7 linked regions of the Neurospora crassa OR74A genome follow. The protein of the gene in region 5 binds, or shares a complex with, the protein of the main gene of each other region. Links are inferred from orthologs where the notes say so. Each region holds a gene or a part of one and is shown on either strand. Other genes may lie near its edges. The genes, in order: NCU00952, NCU06469, NCU08299, NCU02804, NCU02757, NCU06749 and NCU04068.

Region 1 (3,617 bases), about 3.1 Mb from region 5:
CACGTATCGCTCTTCTGGCTCTGCAGCAGCGTGCTCACCAAGTCGCGCGAGCGTGAAAGAAGGGAGTCGATCCCCTCGTAGCTACGTTGCAGTTCCTTCAAAGCAGCGGTGCTTTCCGCAAGGGTTTGGGAGGCGAAGGCGGACTTGGCTACCTCGGAGGCGATCAGGGCGTGCGTGCGCCGCAAGGCGTCCGTGACGGTGGAGGAGGCGGAGACGACTTCGGAGTCGTGGGAAGGGGGTAGATTTGTTTGGTGCTGTTTGCGACGGCGGTTGCCGAAGAGGGCTTGGCGGGGGTCGAGAGGAGGAGCATCTGACGAAGCGGCGGCGGCGGGGGTTGAGAGAGGGGGTGGAGACGTCGTCGACGAGGTTGGTTGAGCACCACCGCTGGGGGCAGCAGCAGTAGATACGGGTGTTGAGGCGCCTGATCCGCGGTCTGATGCGGCGAGGTTGGCGGCGACGGCAACGTAGGAGGCTAAGAGGAGCTGGCGCTCGAGGCGCTGGGCGGTTTCAAGGTTGCGGCGCGCCGCGAGTTGGGCTTTGCGGAAGGAGGTTCGACAGCTGTATTTTTTTGAGACGCAATTTTGTTAGGTACGTTGTTTATCTTCATCTTCATCATCGTCATCACCATCCAGGCTGAAAAGATGAGAAACAAAACTCACCCCTTAAGCTCGGCAGCCAAGCGTTGCGCGCCCTCCTTTAACCTCGTCTTTTGATGTTCCGCCTCACTCCCTGGGCGGCCGGAGCGCAAGTCGATAATCTCCTCCTGCAGCAACTCCAAATCCTCCTCCTCCTCGCGCAAGACCTGGCTGATTTCGGCGCTCAAGTCAGCGGCCTCACTGTTGGTGGTTCCATCGGCGCCAGTGTTCGCGAGACTGCTGATGCTGTTGCTCAAAGGAACGGAACCGGGCTCGAATTTGAGCGTGGCGAGACGCTCGATGAGGTCCTTAAGCTGGCCGGTCGTCTCTTGGAGGGCCGTGAGCCGCTCTTGAAGCGTTTCGAATGTTGACATTAGTGACTTGTTGTATTATGTCGGTATTGCATTCGTAGGGAGTTGACTCGGTAAAGGTAGATAGATATGTGTTGGAAAAAGGTGGATGTGTAACAAATGGTTTCCATGGATCGTAGTCGGATCCCACTTAGGTACCTGGTGTTGATCAGCAGCTGTGCTGTTGTTGATAATTAGTGGAAACCTGGCCTGAAAGGAGAGCACTGTAGCGATGTTCAATGGAAGTTCTCGGTGGGCGTGGCTCTTGCAACGTCATCCTCAAGGTCAATGAAAACGGATCACATGCGGAATTCGGTAACGGAGTTCAAGTTACAACTCGCTGGGGCAAATGGGAGTACGTACTGTTGCGCTGAAGGAACAAAGCACAAACTTACACACTCAGGGCTACAGACTAACACAATGTAATAGAAGGCCAGAAGTGATTCTCTTCCCGTTCAGAAGATTAAAAAGATGTATTATGTCAATTGATCTGATGTAGTGTAAATATGAATGCAAAATCGAGCCTGACACCGTTTGATCCCAGTTGGCTCCCAACCAATCACAGCCCATCTCTCACACGTAGCACGCGCCGTCCCGCATTCTCCGTTTTACAAAAAACACCCCTCCCGGTCCCCGGCGCAATCGGTACGTACCTCCAGTAATTTTTGATCGCATCCCTCCTCCACGCTGCCGGCCGGCGCCAGGCACGAAGACCGAATCGAAGTCCAAATCGCGACACACAAGCTACGTACCCCGTCCGATCCTCCACAGAGACCCGTCTCCCGTCTCCCGCGTCTCCGTATCCGTCCCCGTCCGGTGTGCAGTGCAGTCCCGTCGTCGCAAATTCGCAAAGTCGCAGTCAGGCCTCCGCGTTCCTCCTGCTTCTTCTTCTTCTTCTTCTTCCTCCCCGAACCCAACCCCAACACGACCTCAGGTCACCACCACCACCACCCGAGAGACCTCGCCCAACATGCTCACCCGCTTCATCACCGACGTATCAACGCGCTTCAACCCTTTCTCGGCCAAGGCCAAGGCCGCCCGGCTCTTCCTCTCCTTCCTCCCTCCCAACGCCCGCTCCAATGGCATGAACATCACCACCCAGCTTCTGCCGCGGAATTCCACCGAGACTCCTTTGCTCTACGTCAAGTTCAGTACGTTTTCCCAATGTCTCTCTTCTTGTCACTTGCAACTCTGTCACACATCGACGGACCGCCGTTGCAGTTGGTTGTTGCAATTTGGATCATTCCGGCTGGAAGGCAATCAAGAGTCGTTAGCTGTGAATCAAGCCGTAGTCTAACGTATTTGAAAAAAAACAGAGGACGGCAAGGAAATGAACCTCGACGTTGAGAACATGGGCATCAAAAGCATTGTCGAGGAGGTGGATCGCCACTCTCGTATCCTTCAGAAGCAGGCCGACTTGAACGACGGTTAACCGAATCTCTGTCTTTCTTTTCTTCTTCAAAACCCAGCAATCTCGAGACGCCCTTGTTGTGTTTTGATCCACCAATCGAACTTTGCGGGTAAAACGAGGGAGACTGAGACTAGGAAAAAGGAGGGAAAAGCCACGGGAAGAGCGACGAAAGCCCATCTTGTCTTGATACCCAGACTACTTGGCTTTGGTCCGTGGTACCAAAATGACGATTGACCGGGAGGAGAAGAGGAAAAGTCTGGATATCTAAAGGCACATTCGAATCACCTGGGTAAAGCCAGCGAGCTTGGAGCCGGATACCTGACGACCTCTCTGAGAGATCTGTAAGATCGCCTTACCAGCCAAAAAGAAGAAAACAACAACAAAAGATATGAACCTGTATTTGTATTGGGCAAGAGGTTGTAAGTGTACACCAACAGCATTGGGAGGCGTTAAGGGGCCGGCGATTTTCAGTTGGCAAGGCAGTTTGGGTACCTGTTGTTATAGACATGCGTATATAGCACCTCTGCCATGGATTGATTCACACACATCACGGTACGCCCATTTTGACAAAGTCAAAGTTGAGATCGGCCTTTTTTTTTTTTTTTGTTTTTGTTTTGGCGACCGTGTTTCCTTCGATGGGGAATTCATCAACGGTATCGGTATATTTCAACGGCGAAACTCATGGCGCAAGAATGTCGAGCATCTCCTCGACAAGTCCCTATCCCACGGCATGGACTACAGCCTCAGAAATGGCCAATCTCTGACCGCGCATACCTTGTTGCAAAGACGTTCGACTCTACGCAAAACAACGCATGAGGGTAACACCATGGAGGATTGTTCACGACGAATTGACCAATACAACAAAGTGCCAATAAATTATCTTTATTCTACCTCAACAAACGAACTCTCTAAGCGGAAGCACCGCTGATGAAGAACCACTTGTCGATGGAGCTATCGATAGGGGCAGGGGGGAGATTCTCGTTGGGAGGGAGGGGAGGAAGCTGGTCAGGGGCAACACGGCTGCTGGAGTGCTGGACAGTGACGTTGGTGGTGGAGACACCGCCAGGGGCAGTCTTGCCGGTGATGAGACGCTCCCAGGCTTCGTTGCACTCACGGACGACGTCCATGGCGTACCTGTTGTTATTTGTTAGCCAATGTAGCAGTTGCGGTGACAAAGCGGTACAAAAAACTCACGTCTTGTTCTTGCACTCGCCAGTGAAG
Region 2 (3,716 bases), on a different chromosome or scaffold from region 5:
CGAGGGTGGTGGGAGCAGTCACAGGGCCGAGGGGACGCGGGAGGACTGTCTTTCCATATTTGACAACTAGAGGAGTGAGGTTCTGTTCTGGGATGTTTGTGATATTCAATTCGACAACCGCATCGTCAACCGCACTAGTTTGTTGGGATTTACTGCGAGAGCTCTGAATGTCTTCACGTCTAGAATCCTCGTGTAGGCTGAGGAACGCATAGTCGGCTTCGCGCCCGTCGAGCTCTGCGACAAGGCTGGTATCTTTGGGTATGTGCTTTTCGAGGAGGGCTTCGATCTTGACATCGGCGGCATTATGAAGCTGGCAGAAGATTCGGACGGCAAGATATCGGACGATGGGGTTCTCGTGTGCGAACAGGGTCTGTATTTGGGATGGCTTTGACAGGCCGGCGTAGGTGCGCTTGTCAAAGTTGTTGAGCCTCCAGAGGGCTAGGAGGACAATTGGGAGGTCATCTGGGCGGATCGAAGCTAGGTCAAGGGAATCGAGAGGTTTAAGTTTTGAAGAAGCATCATTGTCGTTGCTTTTGTCGTTGTGGTTACCACCATTAACACCACCAAAAGATCCTCCTCGAAGATGCGACACGAGGAAGACGGACAGCGACGGGGCGAAGGGCAAGATCCTTGCGAAAGCGGCAAGGACTCGCGTATCGAGTTTTGGAGAAGACAGAATCCATCTGGCGCAAATATCGGCAAAAACAGACTCGAAATGGGTAAAGATGCGGTCGGTGGCTGTCGAGACAAGAGCGGCGCTGGCGATCGCATCGAGGAATTTGGTCGATTGGTGATCCTGGATTATGAGCAGCAACTCTGGCGGCAAGAGGTCCAAGGTGGTCGCATCGCTAAGGAGCGACGCCCTCTGCTGGCTCACATCGATCACGGCCATCATGGCCAGGGAAAAGCGACGGGACGGGTTGGCGTGGATGTCGTCGTCGTCGTCGTCGTCGTCGTTGTGAAAAACGGTGATGTTTTTCTTAGTCTCTTTTTTTTTTTTATCTCTAACTTTTTTGCCCATTGAACTTCGCTTTCTCCCGTTTGGAACTTTTTCCCACATGAAATTCCTTATCGCGCTGAACGATAGTGCGGGGTACATGCTACTTAGCGCTAGGCGCATGTGCTGGGGTGTACTGCATAGTACTCTACATAGTGTAGTGTAAGTCGGCTGCGGCAGGCAAGGGAGCCATCTTCTTCAAAAGTGGAACCTAGTTCCGGGTGGGACGAACAGCCCAGCGGCAGCAGGGGCGCGCTTGGGATGACAGGGGCCCATCCTTTAGCGCGTCTTCAGTGGACTTCAAGGTACAGAGGTACCTAATCCCCAGACTCGCGCGGGGCAGGCAGCTTGGGTTTTCCCCTCCAGCTGCAGCTCCGGGTCAGCCAGCCGTCATAGATCCAACTTGCACGCCCAAACCACCAAGCTGCCAACTGCCAGTAGTGGGTCCCAGATTTCGCAGCACCCGGGAGCGCGCGACAACGTCCCCAAAAAAATATCTCCGTTTAGTTGTTGTACGGTTCGGTTGTACGATCCTCGAAGTCGACGTCGACGGCAAGCCTCCCTCACCAAAAAAAGAGAACCCCAATCCGACCGCCCCCGCGCGCCCTCTCTCTTTCCTTCCTCCGGTCCGAGTCCGACTCCCCTCTCTCCATCCATCCATCCACACAACCCACCACCACCAACACACACACATACCAACAATGTCTCTCTCGGTTCGCTTCGCCGCGCAATGCGCCGCCCGCCAGCTCCGCGCATCCACCCGGGCCTCGAGCTCCCTCCTCGTCCAGAAGCGCTTCGAGTCCACCGCCGCCCCTGCCGCCAACCCCAAGATCGCCGCCATTGTTGACCAGATCAGCACCCTGACTCTCCTCGAGACCTCGGAGCTTGTGTCCAGCCTCAAGGTACGCCCGATTTAAATAAAGCACGAGAAGAAGAACAACCGGGGCCGGGAACCGGGACACACAAAACCCGAATCGGAGCATGTTTCAAGGTTTCCGGATGTTTTTGCGCCCCGGACCCGACCCGACCCGACCCGGCCCGGCCCCGGACAGACAGACAGACAGACAGACCTATCTTATACTACCTAGACTCTCAAGTCGCACACATGTACATGGGCACCAACACTAACACTCACTCTCTCTCTCTCTCTCTTCTTTTACACAAAACAGTCCCGCCTCAACATCCCCGATCTCCCCGTCGGTGGTTTCGCCGCTGCCGCCCCCGCCGCTGCCCCCGCCGCCGCTCCCGCTGAGGAGGAGGAGGCCGCCCCTGCCGCTGCCGAGAAGACGCTGTTCACGCTCAAGCTCGAGAAGTTCGACGCCGCCGCCAAGCCCAAGGTCATCAAGGAGGTCAAGAACCTGCTCGGCCTCTCCCTAGTAGAGTCCAAGAAGTTCGTCGAGAGCGCGCCCAAGGTCATGAAGGAGTCGGTACCAAAGGAGGATGCCGAGAAGATTGTCGCCGCCATGAAGGAGCTCGGCGCCACCGTCACCATGGACTAAACTGCTGCTTCTGCCTAGTAAAAGGGTTGGTTGCTATGGTTATGGTCTCTGTGTGGTGGTGTGGTGGGTGGAGGCGCCGTGTGTGTGTGTGTGTATGTGTGTTGTTGTTTTGTAGGATGGTCACGTCCCTCCCCCGCAGAAAAAGAACCAAACGAGGAGATCTTTTCCTGACACAGATGCCGGAAAGATATTTTCTTTTTTTTTTCCTATAATGATGATCATGACGGGACAGAGTTGGAAGAAATGCCAGGGCCTTGGGAAACACATAAAGGGGGATTCTCGGTCTCATCTACATTATATCCTCATGGGGAAAGGGGGGGAGTGGCGGACACAGATTCCTCACAACAACATATACCACTTGTACGTGTACAAAAAGCAATGAAACATGTAACATTATATCATACTACGAGAACTGGGATGGATAGAAGAACGGGTTGTCAGCGAAAACATGAGAGTCTGTCGACGATATTACCGTGAGCAGATGCCGCTTCTGAGTTAATAGTATCTCCCCACTTTCGCTTATGGATACCGAAGATAACTAAACAGCCAAAAACATAAACGCCATCCCATGCATACCCCATGTATCGGTAACTTCCTTGTTTCTTATTCTCAACCTCCTTCTCCTTGCCTCCTTCAATTTTCTTCTTTCTATCGCACTCCTACCAGCGCGCCTCTTGTATCCACCACCCGTGTCATTCCTACTGGTCTTGAATTCCCAGGTTCTCTTCTCCTCCGTCGGTTTCCTAACCCGAAGTCATCTCCACATCTTTATCTTGCTTCTCCTGTTGCTCCTTTTCCAGCTGCTGCAGCTGCTTCCTCCTCGCCATCTCGGCAATCTCCCCACTAATCGACATTGGCTTTTCCTTCATGTTATTCCCATTCATACCATCATCCCTCTCACCCCCGTTACTGGTAGAGGTAGTATGCCCACACCCCGCACCACCACTCCCTCCAATCCCTCCAATCCCCGCCTGCAAACTCCTCTCCCACTCCTCCTGCTCTTCCCATATCGCCCTCATGTCGTCATCCCCCAACTCTGACGTCTCCTCCAGCAATCTATCCAGCTCGTCTCCGCTCGGCACCGCCCAGATGTTCTCCCTCAGCCTCTTATGCCGCTCACGATCCTCCTCGATACGTTGCTCAACTTGTTTCTTGTCGAGACGAGGGGCGGCAGTGTTGACGCCTCCGCCGCGTTTGCTCAAATTGCTATGCTGTTGGTT
Region 3 (4,589 bases), on a different chromosome or scaffold from region 5:
GGAGGAGAGGCAGAGGAGGAAGGTTAGGCTAGGGATCGACGGTAAGTTGGGCGAGGGTGATCACTTCAGTTGAGCTGAGCGAGCGCGTTGTGTCTCTTCTTTTTGTTGATTTGGGAGGCGAGTGATTCTCTGTGGGTTACTCTTTGGTGATGGAGATGGTAGGAATGGGTTATGACTCATGAGATGGATGACGATGAATGAGATGACGGATGGTTATACCCCAAAATGAGGATGAAGAGGATAGACAATGCCGAAGAGATTAAGAGATGAGTAACAGAAACTTAATGTGTGTTTTTTTAACCAGTAGGAGAAAACCTACGCGCACTCCATGTTCTCCTTGGTGCACCCTATTATCTTAGACCACTGTACCTTAACAATATGCCAATTCTATAGTTGTCAAAGTCTCCTTCATTGATCCCTTTGCATCAGGTCGCAAGTTCTGATGAACGTGTTTTTGGAAACGTCGTGACAAAGTACCAGGAGGGGGTGAGAAAGTGAGGACGCAACTACAGAGAGAACAGTCCACATTTCATCTCCCCTCTCACCAACTTCATCTTCCTCTCACGTATAAGATAAACAAGAGCAATGTGAAGAAAGCACAAGGCAAAATAGATACTAAACAACCTCTAGTTTGGATGAATGGAAGGCGCGCAAGCTTGGGAGGAACTTCCAGGCTCGATCTCGTCGTCCGGTCTTTTACTCTTGCCGGTTGCGTATTCCCATTTCTTCCTTTACGATGCTTGTTATACAAAACAAGGGCTTACACATCCTGGAATTGTACAATGCGTGTAAATTGCGTAGTACCATATTCTCTCTTACACAGCCTTCTCCTCATGCCAGAGCAGTCAATACGTAGAGGAAGGATTTATCATGTCATGTACTTCGTTGATGCCTCGTAAAAAATTTGACTTCTTAATGCTACACATACAGACGATGATCTTCCTTCTCCCTGGCCTCGGCTACTTTTTTGGTATTATACACTGAGAAAGAAGGACACAGATGCCACCCCGACGAGGGTTGTGTCTCTCTTTGTCGAAAGCAGAGCCAAGCAGCCACCATCCAGACCCTCTTCATTCCCCGTTCCGTCCCAACCCCCCTTTGTATTGGTATATGTGGCGGGGGTGTGCGTGTGTGTACATGTATGTCCGTTGCGCGCAAATCTGTATACAACATCTCGTCTTTGGCAAAAAGAGCAAGAAACAATGGAAGGAAAGGGAGTGACTGGATGGGAGAGGACCATCCATTTAATATCCCCTTCCTTCGCAGGACGGAAATTGCCCGCTCTCAACAGGACAGGACAAGAGTGGAAAGGTAAGCTGAGCTTTTAGACCACACCAACAAAATCCACTCGTTGTTTTGTTTCCCTCTCGATCCTCTTGCGTCGATTTCCACAAGGGGAACCTATCCCGAGTTGATGGGCCGCACAACCAATAAAACCGAGAGTGTAAGCAGGCCATCTGCGACTCTCTTTTTACCTTTCGTTTCATACACTTCCTAAGTTCTCTACTGCCCTGCCGTACTGTCCGCCGCCATGCTCCGTGTTTCAGCCTCCTCATTTAGCGGGAGATAACCTCACCCATATCAATGTATGCTGGCGTCCAGGGCTTGGCACCCTCCTCCAGCATATCACTGGGTACCCGAGGGTTCTCGCCAGGGCTGTAGAGATACCAAGCCTTCAGGGCGTTCATGGCGGCCTTGAAGCGGGCGTGGTCGAGAGAGGAGGCGGCGCCCTCGCCGAGCTTGTCGCTGCCGCTGTATATACCGACAACAAAAACGGGGGTGCGCGACTGGCGACCCGTCTCGGAGAGGAGACGAGCCACGGGGGGCTCGAAATCCTCACGGGCGCAGAGCGCGGCGAGCTCGCGGGTGGGGTACTTGAATTCGAAGAGCTTGGCAATGTCGAGGGTGCGCGACATGATGTGCGCCTTGACAAAGGCCTTGGCGGCCTCGCGGCCGCAGTGGGCGTAGATGGCACCGACGACGGCGCGCACAAAGTAGGCGTGGGCCCGCTCAGCAGCGGCCCGGGTGTCGGGGTTGCCGTAGCGGTCGTAGCTCACGTCCTGGTCCTGCTCATTAGCGACCATCTCGGCCTCCTCCTCGTCGGGAGTCTTGTCCTGATCCTGCTCTTCCATCGCCTTCTCCAGATCGGCGGCAACCTTGGGGTCGCTGCGCACGACATCACCAAAGTCGTCGTCGAGAACGACACGCGAGGCCATACCGCGACGCCACTTGAACTTCTCGAGGTAGGCGAGCTCTGTACGCTTGTAGCCGAAATTTGTGATGGCGACGCCGGGCTTAAGGGCATCGAACTGCAGAAGACCGGGATCCACCTCGCCGCCGGGCACCGCGGCGGTATCAACACCCCATGACCGCGCAATCTGGAGCAAGGGCTTCGGTCCGGCATAAGCCTTCATGGCACTGAAGAGAATTCCCTGGGGTAGACGGGGGTATTTGCAGAGGAGCCATTCGGCAATATGGTAGTTGATGAGGGTCTGGCCAACGAAGGCGAGGTTGGCGTTGTTGAACTGCGGGTTCTCGTCGGCCGAGGCGTCGACCAGTGTCCTTGCCAATGTCTGTAAGGGGATCTTGGGAGAAAGATTCAAACGGGCGTGGAGGGCGGCCAGTTTGGCCGAGGTCAAGGCCCGTTCGGGGAGGGGCGACGGTAGGGACTCGGCCGCGGGGGGGAGGGGCTCAAGCGGGGGGAACCGATCATTGTTGAGATCGTGGGATGCATCGTGCTGAGCGAGGGCAGCTGTCGATTGCGATCGCACCGAGATTGCAGATCGGGATCGGATGGCGGCAGTGGCGGGCGACACTCCGGAGCGAGCGGCGACGAGCAGCCGGCTCGTCAAGCTGGGCGTTGCTATCCTCTTCATGGGCGATATATTTGATGGGTGATGGTCGGCTCGACAACCGGGTGTTGACGTGCTGGGGCCCAGGTTCCGTAAGTGTGCGCCGTCTGGAGGCCCTGCCAAGAAAAGGATGGAGTGAGGGAAATCGGACGGGCAGGTGGTGAGCCGGTGGTCGCGGGGTGGGAAGCTACTCGGGATCCCGGTCGGAGTCGCGCGTTGATCGGATGGGTTCTCGTTCAGACTCGGCCGGCCGTCGAACACGGGTAGAAAAAAAAAGTTCTCCAATCTGAACGCTCACCACCCGTACACTAGACAAGCCCACCACCCAGAGCCGTGAATCAGTGCTCAAGCGCAGGGGTTACTCCCCCAAGACCGAGACATAAAAGCCGGCTGACATGATTCGTTGTTGGCCCAGTGAGGGTCCCCACAAGATCCATCTTCGACCCCAATCCACTATCTGCGCTGTCTGTTTAGCATACGGTGCACTGTGGTGGACAAGCGGGAGCTGCCCGCCCGCCGCCCGCCGCCCGTCTGTCGCATGCGCCCTCGGCCCCAGTTAGGACGAGTGACATGGTGACTTTCAGGCCTGGATGGTTGATGCGATTTAGCCCCTCGTCAGCCTGTAGGCGGATTCATCATTCGTCCTTCTATCCAATTGTTCCCGCTGAAGCATCACCACTATTGTGCCGTCGTTCGCAGTGCATCGCAAAGTTGACAGTACAAACCGATCTTGCTTAACTGCGAGGTGGAAAGAATCATTCCTCGTTGAACGTCCAACCTACCTCACCACATATCCCAAAACTTCATCACAATGGTGCGTATCCACCCGATTGCTTAGAATAGCCATCATCACTACTATGTTTTGTGTCTGCTAACTCTCTATTTTTCCTGTCTATAGGGCGGCGGTCCCCAAGTTCCGTGAGTTTCATCGCCCTCGACATGCGCAAACCCTCCGCGCATTCTGTCCAACCCAGCCTGCGTTGTGTCATGGATCCGTCCTAATCGTTGCCTCGCCCTTCACTCCAGCTACCCCAAACACGTCTGGTCGCCTTCGGGTGGTTGGTACGCCCAGCCGGCCAACTGGAAGAAGAACACGGCTGTTCTCGGTGGCGTCGTCTTCCTCATCACTGCCGCAGTCTGGAAGCTTAGCGCCGAGAAAGAGTACCGTCACAAGATGCCCGAGCCTGGTCGCTTTTATCCCAGCAGATAGTATGTCCTGGCAGACAGACCCCCATCCAAATTTTTATACATGCGTAACGTTTTCCGCGAGCGCAGACCGCGGGGATGTTCTTAAGCTGACGCAACCGATATTACCTCCACTAGCTGGAGCAGACAGATTATCGAGTATGAGCGGGCGCAAAAGGAGAACGGGACGACACAGGAGAAAAAGTAAATTTGGGCATAGGCCCTGCCACCCCGGCCGTTTGGTCATACAGTACATGGCTTCCAAAGGCTTGATGGAATAACAGGACATCTTGGCTTGGTTGAGGCCGGCCGGTTGGTGGTAGTAATGCAATATTCGGAATACATTCAACGTCGGTTACCCTCCGCTGGCCGTCTTGCGTTGGTGCTCCAGAGCCTGGCTACGTCGTGAATAAAGCTAACTTTGATGTGGATCAGTTCTGTAATGGATTATAGAGGAAACTACCTCTATTCTTACCGTTTCGTACTATTGGCGAATACTAGTGAACTCACAGAGAAGAGCCCACCTTCCATGACTTTGAATCGTGAACATGC
Region 4 (3,359 bases), about 5.6 Mb from region 5:
CTTCTTGGCCTCGCTCTCAATCTGTTGCACCAGTTCTCTTGTTGGCGCCAGAATCAGGGCATATGGACCGTCGTTCTTGTTGTACTCGGTCAGGGGTGGTAGTTCGGAGATGTAAACCAGCAGAGGCAGCAAGAAAGCTGCAGTTTTACCGGAACCCGTCACGGCCACACCGATCAAGTCGCGTGCTTGAAGGGCAATGGGAATGGCAGCTCTCTGAATCGGCGTCGGCTCGTCGTAACCCACGTTCTTGACAATGTCGAGCAGACGCCTAGGCAGCGTGGACTCTTCCCAACTGCGCATAGGGTTGGGAATGGCACCGCCCTTGGTGGCAATGCCAAAGTTTTCCTTGAAGATACGCCAATCGCGCTCCTTCATGTCCTCCAGCTTCTTCTCGGACCAGTGCTTGCCCAGGTTCTTGCGCTGTTCCATCTCCTTGATCCGTCTGTGTTGTTCCAGGTATTGCCTGGCGCGCTCCTCGCCCGTCTCGGGATCGCCACGACGGATGGCTTCGGCCTTCCGCATCACCATCTCTTCCGTCATCTCGTAACCACCAAGTCGGACCAGAGGCTCTTGACGCTCTGCGTAGATGGGGTCGAAGGGTCGGCTAGTGTCGTCATCGGCATCCCAGTCAAAGTTGAACTTGTTCGCTGCCGTCCTCCTCCTCTTCTTCTTGGCCGAGAATGTGGACTGATTTACTACTGGACCCATGTAGCGGGCGCGCAGCTCTGCCTCGTCGTTCCTCTCCATCTTGGCTCGCTTCTCTTCGTCATCGTTGGGTGCGCCGCGTTTTGCGCCCCGTTGGTTTCTGTCTCGGTTATCTCTGTTGTCGCGATTGTCTCTGTAGTCCCGACCGTTGCTCATGCCGTTGGGTCCCCGGTCATCGTCGTACCGCATCGCCTTGGGTCCGGTTGGGATGTTTCGTTGAGGGTTGTGGTTGTGATGACTCTGGATACCGTCCATGCGGTTGCCGTTATGATTTGTTCCATTTGGTTGAGGCTTGGCTTCTTCCTTGCGCTTGCGTTCCTCTTCTTCCTTTGCCTTTTTCTCGGCTTCTAGCCTCTCTCGTTCCTTTTTGGGGATGAATCTTGGTTTCGCGGCGGCGGCTTCTTCCTCCTTCTTCTTGCGCAGCAGTGCTGCCAGGTCTGGGGGTTCCCGTCTTGATGTCGTGCTCATCGTGGTAGTGTATGGAGTTGGTGATGAATCGAAGGAAGAGACTGGTCGGAGGCGACAGTGTTGACAATAAACGTGTTGATTTCCAAGCAGTGCTGGGTTCCGGAATGGGGTTGTTGTTATGGCGAACTTGGGTGGTTCTGGGGTGCAGCAGCGGTGCAGCACAGTTCTCGACCCGCCCAAAAGTTATGTCACGGTTCAAGGTCGGTGATCCCTGTCGTGCCTGTTCAAGGGTCTCCACATGCCCCGCCTTACGCGGGGGGTTAAAGAGGTCGGGTTAGGGCTCAAAGTGTAACTTCCGGCTGTCGCTATGTACCGTTTCGCGACCTGGAACTTTTTCGCAGTTGGGGTCCCGTCGGCGGCCGATTGATCGCAAAGTTCCCCGTTCCGGTTCGTTCGAGCAATCCGGACCCTGTCACCTACGACAAAAACAAACAAACAAACAACCCCCCCCCCCACCTCGACCGACACAGTACCGCCAGCAGGCCGGTCGATCGACATCTTCACCATGGCGGCCACGGTGAAGCAGCACGTCCAGCTGGCGCTTTCGCTCCCACCGCGGTTGCGCACCTTCTTGGCCCGGTACCCGCCGGCCTCGATCCTGCCCGCCGGCGCCGACCCCGAGACGCACAAGACGCCCTACCAGGAGGAGAGCCCGAACCCGTTCATGCCCACCAAGCACCCAATCACCGGAAAGTGGCACAACCCCAAGTACTCGCTCAGGCGACAGGCCGAGCTCGTCAAGCTGGCCCAGGAACACGGCGTCGAGGAGCTGCTGCCCTTCACCCGCAAGCTCAACGAGGAGAAGCTACGGAAGAGAGTCGAGCTCGGTCTCCGTGTCAAGGGTACCGGTGTTGGAGAGAAGGTCAAGGGTCACAAGCACGAAAGGACACTGGTTGCCAAGTACGTTGTCGATCCTCGGCTGCTGCTGCTGCTGCTGCTGCTGGTTGGGAGGAAGTGGTGGTTTGCTGACGGTGGATTTCGCACACAGGATGGAGAAGAGGAGAGAGGCCATGCTGGCTATGCCCGACCTTATCCGGGAATGGAAAAAGGTAAGGATTGCGCCCAAACTCTTGCGGTTTGCACTCTTGTTAACCATGGGCTTCGCTACAGGTCGGCAAGAGGAACTGGACCAAGTTCCCCAAATAAGCGATCGGTTGTTGTCGCTTGTCGGGAAGATTACAACGAGAGTCACTGCCATGTCCATAGACTGTATCATCACCAACAATGTACAACAAATTTCAAGCCATTTGGAAGGGGATTGCCATCAATGTGGTTCTGTTTCCCGGTTGTTGACTGAACGTCCTCTGGCGTCTTATAAGACGGAGTTCCCCACTGTGGTTGGAGGCCGAGACGAGGTAATGTGTCTAACGGTGCAGTAAAATTTCCCCCCCGAATTTGTTTCTCTGAACAACTCACTTCACGATACCAGGCACACAACTAAGACTCAAACCACCACGTGAGAACCGACACATCACACATCCTCTTTTTTTTGCCTATTCACATTTCCTACTGTATACAGCAACATAACAAGGGCAGCGAGCGCAAAGAGACACGTGATTGCGGGATACAAACTTTTCTCTCGAAAGCTGCTCGACGCAAACCACCAACCTTTCACCACTTACACGTCGATACATTTCAACACCAAACCGGTCTCACAACCATACCATTTTATACCCGGGGCCGCACTACCAAACACCACATTGAACACCAAACCGCAAAACCACCAACACATCCAAGATGTCCCAACCAACCTTCTACGAAATCCTCTCCCTCTCACCCACCACCTCCGACCTCACCCCCGCCTCGATCAAACAAGCCTACCGCCGCGCCCTCCTCACCCACCACCCCGACAAGTCTTCCTCTAACTTCTCCTCCTCTACCTCCAACAGCCACTCCAACAGCCACCCCAAAGGACATCACCCCCCAAAAACACGCTACACAATCGACCAAATCTCCCTCGCATACACCACCCTCTCCTCCCCCACTCTACGGACCCAATACGACGCCGCCCTTCGCTCTTCTTCATCTTCTTCTTCTTCTTGCTTCACTACTACTAGGAAAGAAGAAGACGACGACTTCCAAACAGGCATCGACACCATCGACCTAGACGACATGGTTTTCGTACCACACGAGACCTCGTCCTCCGCTGGTATTAGTCGTAATGAAAAAGACACATGGTACCGCCC
Region 5 (4,352 bases):
ATCGTCGTCTTTTTGGTCTGCATGGTTTTCGCGGGCATGGACAATTCGTCGACATGGAGAGTGGCCGCCTTGGCCCTCGTCATACGTGTCGTGGTTGCTGTACTGTTCTCGTCATTTTCGTTCGCGAGTGAACGCGGGTTCCTCGTCCGCTGCAGGGTTGGGGTTGAGTTAGTACAAACATAGCATGGCTGTGGACAACCAATTGCATGATTGAACGACAATGCCAACTGTGCAGTAAAACTTACAAGATTCGGCATTCTCGCCTAAACCTATGCTGGCACAGAAATTGATGTGAAATGTGTCTACTGACGGGGAGGTCAGCTAGCTATTTGGATGTTTCGTTTTTGGCGAAGTTCGAGGTGGAGAGACTGGTTCTTATTGAAAGACCGATCCCTGTCACGGAGGGAGGGTTGACGCGAACGACGAGCGAACGACGAGGGAATTGTGAACACGGACAGTCAATGAGACTAGACGCACCGACTACAGAGCCCAAAGATGTCGGGAAGAATGAACACCGGCGGTCGGCAGTGATGTCGCTGTCGGCACGTTGTTGAAGCCGGAGATCAACCCTGGGTCCCGCAACAGAAGGTTGGCTGAGACCGTGAAGGATGTGCTGTTGTTGATCGGGAATGTTGCCCAATTGGTGACGACGGTCGGGGCAAAGCACGCAATGGCGACGTCCGGAAAGATTGACTGATCGAGGCCAAGGGTTGCCGTCGTGATGGCAAGGCCTTGCGAGTCCAGGTGATGCGGAGTGGGAATGCTAGTTGGCGGACGGGAAAGGGAGGTATGATGTTTACGAGGCAGAGAAGAATGGGAGTCTTGTTTTTGCGAGGTCTTGGTGGAGGTGCCAGTGCCAGTGCAGCCCAGTGGATGGGGCTGGAGTGCCAGTGGACGGAGCGGGCGTGTGGACACCCACCCAGGTACCGGATCGGACGTGCTGGGACTGGGGCAAAGTACCTCTAGTGCCCTTCGAGGTCACTAGTGCAGCGAGGCTTTGAAGCTTTGAAGTCCAAGACACCGGAAAGGGAACAAAATTACCACAACAAGTGATGACGCGCCGTGCAATATGGGCTTCTGTCAGACGCACGTCTTGCTGTTCCCTGCCTTGCTAAGTTGTCGAATGATGAGGATGCCGTTGTCGAATAAGCAAGTCGAAAAGGTTGTACTGCCGAAGAAATGCAGGCTTCAATGGCCGGAGTCGAAAGTTGCTGTTGTTGCTGTAGCTGAAAGTCGATTGTCGTGCGTCCAGGGAAATGGTTGTTAGTCGGATGGTGAGTGTCGAGTTGCAGAATCCGGAGTCGAGAAAGCGGCCAGGAAATTGTACTTGGGCCGGGCGCTGTTATGGAGCACTGCAAGCAGAAGGGACAAAGAAGGGTCGCACCTCAAACACGCAGTGAAGGAACTGAAGGCGGCAAGGCCACCACAGGCCACGTCCCTCCCTTGCTGTCATCCGCCCGCCGTCAGGGCAACACTGGCAACCGCAGGGCAATTCGGTCAAATCAGCTTCTGATTGGTTTAAACTGTCCAACAGGCTGCGCGTGTCCAGCAGCTGTCAACACTAAGGTACCTTACCTATCCTGGGTCAGACGCGACTGGAACCTTGGGCGGGCAGGAATGGAGCACGATGCACGCTCTTTCCCCGCGCCGCACTGCACCTTCACGCGGTGATGACTTGGTGCCTTCCTCCCGCGCCCGCGTTTTGGAGCGCTGTTTGCAGCACTTGTCCCCTGGAAAGAAACAAGGCTCTTCACCAAAGGGCAGTGGCTGCACCACACAAGCCACACTATTAGCAGCCACAATCGTCAGGGATCGCAAACCAATGCACGGCTGTGATTGGCGCATCAGCCGAGCAATTTTCCACAAGCAGTTATCGACGACAAGCCGGCGACGAGAACCTCGACGAGCAGCCTGCGAGGACGTCGCATTCCGGTTGCTGGAAATCGCAGCAACTGTCCCCTCCAGCACCCTCACCTCCCCAGAGCTCACCGCCAGGAGCTTGGGATATCCGACAGCGATCGAGCAGCCATGCTGCAGCCTCAATTCCGACCCCTCCTTGCGGGGACAGCTTCCTTTGCCCAAACCGTGCTGGGCCGCACCGTCGCCAGATGCTATGCCACCAAGGCCGCCACACAATCAGCAAGCAGCACCAGCACCAGCAACACCAGCAAAGATGCCAAAGCCAAGATCGTCACTCCCTACGTCCGGGACGCCGGCATGATGAGAACCTACAAGCCGCACACGCCCGGTATCCGTCACTTGAAGCGCCCGATCAACGACCACCTGTGGAAGGGCCGGCCGTATCTTCCTCTTACCTTTCCCAAGAAGGGTCAATCTAAGGGTGGCCGTAATCACAGTGGTCGCGTCACCGTCAGACATCGCGGTGGTGGTCACAAGCGAAGAATCCGCATGGTCGACTTTGAACGATGGATCCCCGGTCCGCACACAGTCCTGCGCATTGAGTACGATCCCGGTCGCAGCGCGCACATTGCGCTGGTGAAGGAAGAGGCCACAGGGAGGAAGAGCTATATTGTTGCGGCGGATGGTATGAGGGCTGGAGACGTTGTGCAGAGCTACCGGTCCGGTCTTCCCCAGGACCTGCTCGATTCTATGGGTGGTGTCGTTGATCCTGGTATTCTGGCTGCGAGGACATGCTGGAGAGGCAACTGCTTGCCTGTGTCCATGATTCCGGTTGGAACCCAGATCTATTGCGTTGGCTCCCGTCCGGATGGCAAGGCTGTTTTCTGCCGCAGTGCCGGAACATATGCAACCATTATTTCCAAAGAGGAGGAGACCCGTGAGGATGGTACAAAGGTTATGACGGGCAAGTTCGTCAACGTAAGACTGCAGAGCGGAGAAATCAGAAGGGTCAGCAAGGACGCTTGCGCCACCGTTGGTATTGCCAGCAACATTATGCATCACTACAGACAACTGGGCAAGGCCGGTAGAAGCCGTTGGCTCAACATTAGGCCTACTGTGAGAGGTTTGGCGATGAACGCAAGTGAGTAGACTCCCAGAACAATCCGTTTGTCAAGCGAGCAAAACCAACTAACGGCCTGGTAGATGACCATCCTCACGGTGGTGGTCGTGGTAAGTCGAAGGGTAATAGGCACCCTGTTTCTCCTTGGGGTACACCTGTAAGTCATGCCCCTTTATTTCCTTCCTTCCTCTGAACAGACGCCTTACCCTCTTTTTCTGTAGGCCAAAGGTGGTTACAAGACTCGCAGAAAGTCCAACGTCAACAAGTGGGTGGTTACCCCCCGGGTCCGCAACATGGGAGTCCGGAGGAACAAGAAGACTACATGAATAAAATAACCCACTGTGCTCAACTTGGGCTATATACCCACCATCTTGTACAATATGTAGTGAAACTTATTCATTTGCTCGCAGGCCGGCAGTTCGAGGGCTCAGTATATCACCGGAAGGATGCCATGTGTGGGTATTGGGCCCAATAACATCGTCTGTTGGAGATCTGCCGTGTTTGTCTTTGTTTTCCACTTTCAACTGAGCAACTCTACGGCGATGTGGTTCAGGGCCCGGCCAAGGCCGTGACTGTGCCTATAAATCGGCATACGACTTCAGGAATGTACCAAAGACTACACATGGGGTTTGTTAGACTCCGTTGTCATATACCGACCCCAACTTAACAAATTTTTTATTGATTTATTTACTTATAAAATTTGTTTAATTTTCCTAAAAAAATTAAAAAATTTTTTTTTCCCTTTTTTTTTTTTTTTTTTTTTTTTTTTTTTTTTTTTTTTTTTTTTTTTTTGCGTTGATTATAGACAACAGACTACAATGAAAGAAACTGAAGGCGTTTGGTCATTGGAGTCGGTCGAGTTGTCCAATCACATTTTGCGTTCATCTCTTCTGCAAGGAGCAGAATAACAATGCCGTCCCCCTTCGCCCTTTCAGATCTGCTACCGGTTCTGTGAACGCCATCCTGAAAAAAAAAAAAAAATAGGGGCGTAAATAGCCGCGTGGGTAGACCTGAGCGCAGCGAGATTTATATGCATTCCAGCGGTGGTATCTTTACAGTGGTTGACTGTGTAAGGGCATATCACGACAGCGTCTCGGTATGCGCCCGCAATTCGGCCATACATACAACGCCATGAAGGAACGAGGGTCGACAAAAGGCAAGCATAGTCTCATCTCCATAGAGGTATACCACAAGATCAACGGGGGTGATGAGTACACTATTTGAAGCGTCTCTTCGGTGGTTTGGGCAGAGTTTAAGGTTTACGCCATTCTTTTAGTGTACATACTATTTCACAACGTTTCGCTCGTTCAGGGCAGTCCCCTTTGTACTTCTGGAGATTGAATGGGATCGATGGAATCGGTAGTTGTACATT
Region 6 (3,876 bases), on a different chromosome or scaffold from region 5:
AGCATACCAGATAGGAATCAAGGTTGGGAAGGTTCTGACGATGGCTTTCGGGCATCAAAGGATTTTCAGGTCTTATGTAGCTTGGAAAACTTCAGTAGGTTTGTTTCTTTTGTTCTCAAGCAAATTTACATGAAATCATCCTCCCAGGTCTCATCCCGATCCTGATTGCTCGAGTTCATCATGTTCTCCTCAGCAAAGAGCTCATCGTAGGCATGATCCTTCTGCCACTTCTTCTCGGCCCGCTCCTTCTTCAGGCGATCCTCCTCCTTCTTCCGCGCCAGCACCGCCGCCTGATCCTTCTTGCGCAGCTCTTTGAGATGCTGCTCCTTCTCCTCTCGCAGGTCCGGGTGCTTCTCAACCTTGGTCTTGTTCAGACGGTTGACGATAGCATTTTCGCGCTGCGCGATCAAAATGCGCTTCACCTTCTTCTGATCCTTGAAGCTGACCTGGCCGACCGCCATGCTGCCGTCCTTCTTGAGATTGGCCCATGGGGTATAGATGATTGTGATGTTGTCCTTCTTGTTACCTTTACAAAAGCACAGAGTTAGTCCTCACGAATTCCCCCATGACTTCCTGACAGTAGAATTCAAAAGCAGCAACTTACCCTCGATGGAGTTGGCCTTGGTCAACTGACCAAGGTCGGTCAGGAGCTCCTCGGGAATGTTCTCCCATGTCCAACCCTCTGGGAGACGGAGGTAGATATGAGCACTGGAAAGTTTGTCGACATGGAACTAAGTAGGGCCTAGTAATGAGAAACAGAGCATAATATGACGAGAACCTCATGGGGAGTCATACCCTACGAAGAATAGTTAGAAAATGCCGAACTAGGCTTGGCCGGGGTGAAACTTACCATACATCCTCCTCCCAGCCGTGTTGGATCAACTCCTCGTCTATAAAATAGCATGTTAGATGAGTGACGAGCTGACATCTATATCCAAGTCAAATATGCAATGTCCATGAGTGTGTCAAGATATATGCATATTCCACAAGGAGATGCAGAATACCACCAATTGTGGCTGATGATCATCTTCACGTACTCTCAAACTTGTCTTTCCCCACATAAATGAAAGCCGGGGGACTGACGACGGTCGAAGTGAAATAGAAGACCATGGTTGCTGATGCCTTTGGAAGAAATGAAAGATGGGAATATTGGGTATCTCAAAACGGCGACAATGAAAAAGACACTTCGTGCAAGAAGGGAAACCAAGATGCAAAAACGCGATTTCTTCTCTGGGGCTGTGTGGTGGTGGTTCGAGTGAAGATGTTTTAGCGGTTGAGTTTGGGGGATCCAATGCGGTAAAATGCGCCCGCACTCCAGCGGAAGTAAAACTACCTAAGTGAATAGAAAGAAGCAATTAACCCTAACCCTTCTTGTAGAGATGTCACACTCTGTACACCACAATCCGCCAAATACATAGTACCCGCCTGTGAATAGCCGCCCCTCCCCTGTCAATTGTGAATCCCCGGATGCCGAACCGATCGACGTTATCGGGGGGGGAGCATCCCGTTACTGAATTTCTGAGTGGCTATCAAATTTCTGCTGCTCCGTGCTTCGAGCCGGCGACCACCACTCCCGCACCCGCCCCAAAACCACCTCAACGGCCGCGCGCCGAAACGACCTCCCAACTCCGCCCCCTCCGGTTCGCGTCTCGAAGACAGCCGGTGTCCTTTCCATTCCCCCCACTCGACGCTCCGGGGCCCCGACATCGATACAACGAACACCGTCAGGTCCAATTGACTGCGACCAACCCCACCAAAAGCAACACAACACCACCCAACCCTCCCCTCAGACTTATACACATACACGATGGCGCCCCGGCTGCCCGCGCGCTGCTGGAGGCAGCTCTCCCTCGTCGAGAGGTCAGCCACCCACACCACAACCACCGCCGCCGCCAGCTCCCTCCTCCTCGCCGGCCGGACCACACCCACCTTCTCCGCCTCCTCGCCATCGACTGTCTTTCCCTCCCTCCTCCCTCAGATCACAAAGCGCGGCGTCAAGTACGGCTGGAGCACGCTCCCGAAGCGCAGCAGGCCCACACGATTCAACCAAGTGACGCAGGGTCTTCCGGCGCCCACCTCGGGCCCGGCCGCTGCCCTCAAGCGCCGCGAGAAGACTACACCCCTGCGCACCGGCGTGCTCGCTGTCAAGAAGGGCATGACCGTCTTCATGGGCCGCACCGGCGCCCGCATCCCCTGCACCGTTCTGCAGCTCGACCGGGTCCAAGTCGTCGCCAACAAGACGCGCGCCAAGAACGGCTACTGGGCCGTCCAGGTTGGCCTGGGCGAGCGCCGCGCCGAAAACGTGGGCGCCCCGCAGCTCGGCTACTACGAGGCCAAGGGCATCCCGCCCAAGCAGACGCTCGCCGAGTTCAAGGTGCGCAACCAGGACGGCTTGTTGCCGGTCGGCGTCCAGCTGTTTCCGGACTGGTTCCACGTCGGCCAGGTGGTGGACGTGCGCGGCATCACGCGCGGTATGGGTTTTGCCGGTGGTATGAAGCGTCACGGCTTCGCCGGTCAGGAGGCGTCGCACGGTAACTCGCTGAACCACCGTACCATTGGTTCCGTCGGTGGTTCGCAGGGCTCCGGTTCGCGTGTGTTGCCCGGCAAGAAGATGCCCGGTCGCATGGGCGCGCAGCAGCACACGGTCCAGAACCTGCCCATTCTGATGGTGGACAACGAGCTCGGCATCGTGGTGGTCAAGGGCGCGGTCGCTGGTCACAAGGGTGCGGTTGTCAAGGTTCAGGATGCTGTCAAGAAGGCTCCTCCCCCGGAGGAGTTTGTCGAGGCCACCAAGCAGCTCCTCAACGAGCGGTTCCCTGATGCGGAGGAGAAGTTGCAGGCGGCGAGGAAGTTGCACTTGGAGCTCAAGGAGGCGAGGAGACAGGGCCTGATAGATTCGCTCATCAAGAATGGGCTGACAGAGAAGGCGGATGGAAATGCTGCGGTAGAAGCTTCGGCTTAAGAGAGGGGGGCTGTCTCTGGTCTGTAGTATGTGTTTGTACTAGGTTTATGGAAGGGAATGTATGGTAAAGCCTTCCCGGTTTCTCATTTTTTTTAGTTCTCTCTTGTATGATACACACGCATCGTGGGGTGTTAAAATGTACAGCTACCGAAAATGTATAACAACTTGAACATACAACCCTTGCCCGTGATAGGTTCGTATGTTCTCTCCCTATATCTTACACATATTCCTCCTTGACAGCCTTCGGGTATTCAATCAGAGAGCCAGACCACGATCCTGTCCTTCAGCTCATCCTGTTTGAGAGGGGGAGAGGGGGACCACCACCTTCCCCGGTTCCCATATATATCCTCCCTTTTTTCAAAACTATTCCCTCCTTAAGAGCACCCCAAAACAATTACTTGGGCATCTGCCTGAAACCCCTGACCTTCGCATCCTCTGCATCATCATCCAGCTCAGGTTCCATCGCACGGCCGTTGATAGCTCTGAACGGATCGCCCTCCTCCAGCAGGTCAATGACCTTGCCGTCCTCCGTCTCCAGACTCCACTCGGTCGTCTCGAACATGCCTCGGGGCGTGGGCCGGAAGCTGGCGAAGCGCATCACGCCCGTGCGCTTGGTGCCCTTGACATTGAACTTGATGTCGATGCGGCCGTGCAGCTGGTTCATCTCGCCCGAGATCCACGGAATCTGCGCCTTGAAGTAGATCTCGTCACCCAGGTACTCGCGCGCGCGCTGGTTCGTGCGCAGCGCATAGAGGGTTGACTCGACCACGGGGGAAGAGAGTTTCTGGTAGTTGAAGATTGCGATCGAGGTGGCGGCTACGATGCCCAAGAAGATGGGGAAGGTGCGGGACCAGCGGAAGCGGGAGGTTTGGACATCTGTTTTTGTGGTTGCAAAGGGAAGAGGGGTCAGTAAC
Region 7 (4,675 bases), on a different chromosome or scaffold from region 5:
AGGACCTTCGGAGTGTTGCTTCAACATCGGTCGCCAAGTATTCATGAACCATGGCAAGCCCATCTCTCAGTTTATCGATCTGTGGTGTGAGGTTGTCGAGATTTTTCATGGACTGTTGTGTCCGCAGGTCAAGTCGATTCATTTGCTTCTGAAGCTGAGCTTCCACGCCTTCTGTAAGGTTCTTCATCACATTCGTGAGTCGTTGATAGAGGAGAATGTTTTGTGCTGTAAATCACTGTCAGCTACGACTCTGAAACGGTGCGTCTCAACCTAGATACCATACCTTTCTCATTATCCGCTCTGGCCGCCTCACAGAACCGCAAGGCCTTGTGCCGATAACTAATCCACGTATTCCACGCAGCATCTGACGACTTCATGGCTGACAGGCAGTGATCGATTTCATGACTGCTGACGTGGAGTTGTGCTTGGTCCCGGATCGCAATCTGACTCAGGGCCGGTTCACGGAACTTGGCACATTGCGCCGGGATATTGAACCTGCCTCGCTCCAAATCACATATCGCTAGACTGGCAGCGTAGGAATCAACAAAGTCGCGAACTTGCCGACCAGTGTCTGTGAGGATTGTGGCGTCGTTCTTTCCGTCTACCAGCTGGCAGTTGTTGACTAGGAGTCGGGCGGCCACACGATGGCAAAACGGTTCTGATTCGAGTTCTTGAAGTTCACTTAGGGCGACGGCGTAGATATTTGGTAGGCGTGAGGACGCTCGAAGCAGATCCGAAGGCTGGATGTTGCGGTCGATGTTGACTTGATGGTCGGCTGTGTTGCGGTCATATTATTAGTCAAGCCCTGCAGGCAGTGCTCTGATATTACTTACGAACTGCCACTTTTCTTTCACCTCCCCACGAAAAGGCCAGAGAAGGTGTAGCTGTAACGGCACAGAGAGCCGTGAAGAGAAGCTTCCTGGCCATAGTTGTCATGTAAGTGCAATGCGACAGGCTGATGATGATATACTGATAAAGTCAGATGCGTCCAGAAGAGTGCCGTCGAAGGGACTTCGGCAGTAAGAAATGGAGATTCTGGCAATATTGGTAGTGCAATTTTGGCGATCGAAGTTTGTGGCCATGCAACTGAAAATTCTGTGGTGTTTTTGAAGAGAAGGAGCGATTCAAGAGAGGGAAGGAAGGAAGGTGTATGAGGGTAAGTTGGCGATCGCGACTGCCCAGGATAAGAGAAGCGGACTTGAATTTAGCGGGACAAGAATCACAGGATTGTGAAACCGCGAAAAGGTTTCGTGTGAAATGACTTCACTTGAAGTTCGCATCGAATATGACTGTGATTGTCTGCCGAGCTCGACTTTTGCTGGTTCTTAATCGTCTGATGTGACGCTGTCCTCTCCAACAGAAGCGAGCCTAGACAAAGATTTGGGCTGTAGACCACTTGTCTTGACATCACTGGAATCTGCATCTTTTCATCCGGTATCGAGAAAGTGCAAACAGCTCGCTTGAGACAGTTTGGAAGACTTCGACCGTGACGGGTGTTCTGGGTGGTGATGACTATCGTGAGGTTGGCATCCGTAAAGTCGTCATCGGAAAGCTGGACGATTGTCGAACGGGAGATTAATTCAACATTCAATCTGAATATTGTGAAACAATATGTTCCATCGAGTAAACTCTACACTTCCACGCCCTGTGCCATTTTCTTTTTGAAGATTTCTTACTCGAGATGAATGATGTCGGATGGAATAACATCTGTTGGTGTTCGTCGTTGTTTCTTAGCCCAAGCGAATAGCAGCAGCGAGACTATGCGGATACGACCCTAACCCTGTTGTATTTACAGCCAATCACTAGCTGCATTGCTGTGCCGCGTCAGGTCCGATACATTTTTTGGAGCTCTCCGAAGATCCACTCGGTTCATCCCACCACCCGGCCGGCTTGCCATTGACTCGGTGCTGCCCTTGCGACTGCCAGAACCTCCGAACTGGAGCGCCGCGTCTCTTCGCCAATTCCGGTTCCGCATCGTGACGACGGCCACCACCCTGCCGACGACGACGACACTCACCACGATGTTCGCCCCAAGCCGAAGGAGGGTCCTTGAGGCCGTTGCCTCTTCCTCATCTTCTCCCGTCGTCACACTCCCCGGCTTCCTGGTGCCCGCCTTCCAACAGACTGCCGGTGCCGCCGCCCGGCGCAACTTTTCCGCGACGACAACCCGCCCGTCCAAGCTCGGCCGCACCCCGCTCAGTATCCCTCCTGGCGTCGAGATCACCATTGGCGAGCCCTTCGTCAAGCGCGACATGACGCAGTGGAAGCAGCAGCCTAAGCGCAAGATTACGGTGCAGGGCCCGTTGGGTTAGTTTGTTCTATTGTAAAATCGACTTGGCAAAAGGACCAGATGGGTGTTTTATTTGAGGATACGCAACGAAACTGGAGCGGGCGCAACAGATGGGCTGGGAGAGGCCCGAGAGAGAACGTTGTTTATGGGTGTTTGCGCGAGAGTGCAAAGGGGACTAGGATGGGAGCAGAGCAGCTGGCTGACTTGTTGCACGTGTGCGTGTGCTTTTTCACAGGACAACTCGAGATGGACATTCCCGACTTCATCAAGATCGACCACGACGCCGAGGCAAGGAGAGCGACCCTCAGCGTAGCGAACCGGGACGAGAAGGAGCAGAGAGAGATGTGGGGTATGGCAAACACCTTCCTTGTCTTGGAGAATGTGGAAAGTTACGGGCGGCCAGTCAGCTGACGATTTCGAATCTTTCTTGGACAAAACAGGAACAACATGGGCGTACCTCAACCGCTTCATTATGGGTGTATCAGAAGGTCACACGGCCGTGTTGCGTTTGGTCGGTATCGGTTACAGAGCTACAATCGACACCCGCCCCGAGAAGGAGGAATACCCCGGCCAGCAGTTCGTCTGCCTCAAGCTCGGTTTCTCCCACCCCGTCGAGATGGGCGTTCCCAAGGGCATGAAGGCCAGCACGCCGCAGCCGACAAGAATCCTGCTTGAGGGCATCAACAGAGAGCAGGTCATGACCTTCGCCGCTGATATCAGGAGGTGGCGTGTACCGGAACCCTACAAGGGTAAGGGTATCTTTGTCAACGGCGAGACCATCAAGTTGAAGCAGAAGAAGATCAAATAGAGGACGCGCGGTGGGTTTTGGTGGCTGATATGGTTGTTGATGAGGATAAGGGGGGAATATTGTACATTTAGTCTATTATTTTTTTTGGCACACACATGGCCTCATAACGGCCCGATACCTGCCATAACCTGTACACTATGACACCGAGGCTTTACTGCTGCCCGAGAACTTCCTGAACGACCTTGATGACCTGGTCGTGGACCGCAGCAGGCGCCGCAATGACACCCTTGTTTTCAGCCAACGTGCGGCCGACGCTGAAATCCAGGCGGTTTCCACTCACGTCGGTAACCTGACCACCAGCCTCACGCACAATCAGATCTCCAGCAGCGTGATCCCAGATCTTCTCCTGGTAAGACTTGGAAGTAGGCAGACGGAGGTAGATATCACCCGCGCCGCGAGCAATAGAGCCGTACTTGGCCTGGGAATCCATGCGCACACTAGGCTTGGTGATCCCGAGCTTCTGCGCAATCTGTCCAGCCACGCCCTGATCCGAGTGACCCGCCTCCACGCTCTCGCAGAAGCTGGCGTTGGACATCTCTGTAATAGGCTTCATCGCAATGGACTTGCCCTCCGCAAGACCGGCGGTGCCCAGGGGTCTGCTAGTCGCGCCTTGGCCCTGAACGGCCGAGAAGATGACACCCCGGCCCTCATCGGTCGCATTGGTGCCGATATCCGCAGCCAACGGCGCAGCGTCGTCCACAGGCAGGTTCGGGCAACCGAGAACACCGACCTTGACGTCACCGTCCACCATCAGTCCCAAGCACACGGCATACTGTCCACCGCGCAGGAAGCCCTTGGTGCCGTCGATGGGGTCGATAGTCCATATCCTGCCCTTGGCGCCGCCCTTGCTGTTGCCCTGGTCGATGATCTCCAGCATCGCGTCGGCATCCTTGATGGCGCCGCCAAGGAGTTGCTCGGCAGCCTCATCGTCAAGCTTGGTGGACTTGACGAGCTCCCAGATCTGGTCCCGCAGGGGGGTGTCCTCGCGCAGCTGAGCGGCCTCCTCCTCAGCCACAATCTCGTCCGAAGGAAAGTTGGCCTTGAGGGCGCTGATGATGAGCGCCTGAGCGCCAAAGTCGCCAATGGTCACAGGGGACTTGTCGTCCTTGGAAACGGTGCCCTTGGCCTTCTCGTGGAAGACGCGCTTGGTGAGGCGGGCGGCCCGCTGGACGGCGAGCTGAGCTACCTCGAGCTCCTTTGCGTACTGGGAAGAGGCCATCTTCTGTGTAGATGTAGTTGTAATGGTTGAGCGGCTGGTTGCTGTGATTGTGTTGGCACTGCCAGTCAAATGGCTCGCAATGAGGGAAAGCCGGGGAAAGGAGATGCGGGAACTGAAGATAGCCAGGATGAGGACGATGAGGGAGAAAACGAAGAGAATTTTGGAGTAGAAAGTATGGGACGATGCCTTTTTCTGCTGTTTGATCTTATCCACAGTCATACAGCCGCGAGAGGATCGATAAACCTCGGGGAATTTTCAATCCGTAACCGGAATACGTATTCAGTCCAAGTTGTTGAGTGGTTGAACTTGGGATTCTGGCTGTCAAATGTTCCCCGCACTGATTCTGTAGCGGCGAAGC

Evidence for each region.
Region 1: NCU02757 (region 5) and NCU00952 share a complex: the UniProt entries of both Saccharomyces cerevisiae proteins name them as parts of the mitochondrial large ribosomal subunit. The link is inferred for Neurospora crassa OR74A from reciprocal best matches to the Saccharomyces cerevisiae genes RML2 and MRPL44.
Region 2: NCU02757 (region 5) and NCU06469 share a complex: the UniProt entries of both Saccharomyces cerevisiae proteins name them as parts of the mitochondrial large ribosomal subunit. The link is inferred for Neurospora crassa OR74A from reciprocal best matches to the Saccharomyces cerevisiae genes RML2 and MNP1.
Region 3: NCU02757 (region 5) and NCU08299 share a complex: the UniProt entries of both Saccharomyces cerevisiae proteins name them as parts of the mitochondrial large ribosomal subunit. The link is inferred for Neurospora crassa OR74A from reciprocal best matches to the Saccharomyces cerevisiae genes RML2 and MRPL3.
Region 4: NCU02757 (region 5) and NCU02804 share a complex: the UniProt entries of both Saccharomyces cerevisiae proteins name them as parts of the mitochondrial large ribosomal subunit. The link is inferred for Neurospora crassa OR74A from reciprocal best matches to the Saccharomyces cerevisiae genes RML2 and MRPL25.
Region 6: NCU02757 (region 5) and NCU06749 share a complex: the UniProt entries of both Saccharomyces cerevisiae proteins name them as parts of the mitochondrial large ribosomal subunit. The link is inferred for Neurospora crassa OR74A from reciprocal best matches to the Saccharomyces cerevisiae genes RML2 and MRPL9.
Region 7: NCU02757 (region 5) and NCU04068 share a complex: the UniProt entries of both Saccharomyces cerevisiae proteins name them as parts of the mitochondrial large ribosomal subunit. The link is inferred for Neurospora crassa OR74A from reciprocal best matches to the Saccharomyces cerevisiae genes RML2 and MRPL6.

What each region holds. Positions count from the first base shown.
Region 1 is NC_026501.1:6,595,043-6,598,659, forward strand, and holds NCU00952 (mitochondrial 54S ribosomal protein YmL44), read left to right. Parts: upstream 1-1,661; 5' UTR 1,662-1,955; coding exon 1,956-2,136; intron 2,137-2,301; coding exon 2,302-2,417; 3' UTR 2,418-2,983; downstream 2,984-3,617. Other genes in the region: NCU00953 (hypothetical protein), read right to left, coding at 1-558, 660-1,009; NCU00951 (inorganic pyrophosphatase), read right to left, coding at 3,305-3,530, 3,591-3,617. UniProt on the Saccharomyces cerevisiae protein: Component of the mitochondrial ribosome (mitoribosome), a dedicated translation machinery responsible for the synthesis of mitochondrial genome-encoded proteins, including at least some of the essential transmembrane subunits of the mitochondrial respiratory chain.
Region 2 is NC_026503.1:1,524,664-1,528,379, forward strand, and holds NCU06469 (putative mitochondrial 54S ribosomal protein MNP1), read left to right. Parts: upstream 1-1,480; 5' UTR 1,481-1,698; coding exon 1,699-1,899; intron 1,900-2,166; coding exon 2,167-2,496; 3' UTR 2,497-3,030; downstream 3,031-3,716. Other genes in the region: NCU06468 (midasin), read right to left, coding at 1-895; NCU06470 (hypothetical protein), read right to left, coding at 3,240-3,716. UniProt on the Saccharomyces cerevisiae protein: Component of the mitochondrial ribosome (mitoribosome), a dedicated translation machinery responsible for the synthesis of mitochondrial genome-encoded proteins, including at least some of the essential transmembrane subunits of the mitochondrial respiratory chain.
Region 3 is NC_026504.1:2,488,181-2,492,769, reverse strand, and holds NCU08299 (mitochondrial 54S ribosomal protein YmL3), read right to left. Parts: upstream 3,167-4,589; 5' UTR 2,877-3,166; coding exon 1,557-2,876; 3' UTR 778-1,556; downstream 1-777. Other genes in the region: NCU08298 (cytosolic phospholipase A2 zeta), read left to right, coding at 1-73; NCU08300 (uncharacterized protein), read left to right, coding at 3,664-3,666, 3,751-3,770, 3,879-4,061, 4,176-4,245. UniProt on the Saccharomyces cerevisiae protein: Component of the mitochondrial ribosome (mitoribosome), a dedicated translation machinery responsible for the synthesis of mitochondrial genome-encoded proteins, including at least some of the essential transmembrane subunits of the mitochondrial respiratory chain.
Region 4 is NC_026501.1:9,064,110-9,067,468, reverse strand, and holds NCU02804 (mitochondrial 60S ribosomal protein L25), read left to right. Parts: upstream 1-1,486; 5' UTR 1,487-1,678; coding exon 1,679-2,073; intron 2,074-2,161; coding exon 2,162-2,222; intron 2,223-2,283; coding exon 2,284-2,319; 3' UTR 2,320-2,492; downstream 2,493-3,359. Other genes in the region: NCU02803 (pre-mRNA-splicing ATP-dependent RNA helicase prp-28), read right to left, coding at 1-1,173; NCU02805 (diphthamide biosynthesis protein 4), read left to right, coding at 2,911-3,359. UniProt on the Saccharomyces cerevisiae protein: Component of the mitochondrial ribosome (mitoribosome), a dedicated translation machinery responsible for the synthesis of mitochondrial genome-encoded proteins, including at least some of the essential transmembrane subunits of the mitochondrial respiratory chain.
Region 5 is NC_026501.1:3,455,240-3,459,591, reverse strand, and holds NCU02757 (mitochondrial 54S ribosomal protein RML2), read left to right. Parts: upstream 1-1,644; 5' UTR 1,645-2,028; coding exon 2,029-3,001; intron 3,002-3,063; coding exon 3,064-3,137; intron 3,138-3,201; coding exon 3,202-3,306; 3' UTR 3,307-3,675; downstream 3,676-4,352. Other genes in the region: NCU02758 (G2/mitotic-specific cyclin-B), read right to left, coding at 1-149, 246-257. UniProt on the Saccharomyces cerevisiae protein: Component of the mitochondrial ribosome (mitoribosome), a dedicated translation machinery responsible for the synthesis of mitochondrial genome-encoded proteins, including at least some of the essential transmembrane subunits of the mitochondrial respiratory chain.
Region 6 is NC_026502.1:2,066,000-2,069,875, forward strand, and holds NCU06749 (mitochondrial 54S ribosomal protein YmL9), read left to right. Parts: upstream 1-1,464; 5' UTR 1,465-1,807; coding exon 1,808-2,962; 3' UTR 2,963-3,172; downstream 3,173-3,876. Other genes in the region: NCU06750 (coiled-coil domain-containing protein 25), read right to left, coding at 126-526, 605-708, 851-890, 1,038-1,110; NCU06748 (hypothetical protein), read right to left, coding at 3,357-3,838. UniProt on the Saccharomyces cerevisiae protein: Component of the mitochondrial ribosome (mitoribosome), a dedicated translation machinery responsible for the synthesis of mitochondrial genome-encoded proteins, including at least some of the essential transmembrane subunits of the mitochondrial respiratory chain.
Region 7 is NC_026506.1:2,634,060-2,638,734, forward strand, and holds NCU04068 (mitochondrial 54S ribosomal protein YmL16), read left to right. Parts: upstream 1-1,836; 5' UTR 1,837-2,021; coding exon 2,022-2,307; intron 2,308-2,525; coding exon 2,526-2,639; intron 2,640-2,730; coding exon 2,731-3,098; 3' UTR 3,099-3,249; coding exon of another isoform or gene 3,250-4,536; 3' UTR 4,537-4,643; downstream 4,644-4,675. Other genes in the region: NCU04067 (hypothetical protein), read right to left, coding at 1-225, 284-775, 834-927; NCU04069 (3'-phosphoadenosine 5'-phosphatase), read right to left, coding at 3,250-4,536. UniProt on the Saccharomyces cerevisiae protein: Component of the mitochondrial ribosome (mitoribosome), a dedicated translation machinery responsible for the synthesis of mitochondrial genome-encoded proteins, including at least some of the essential transmembrane subunits of the mitochondrial respiratory chain.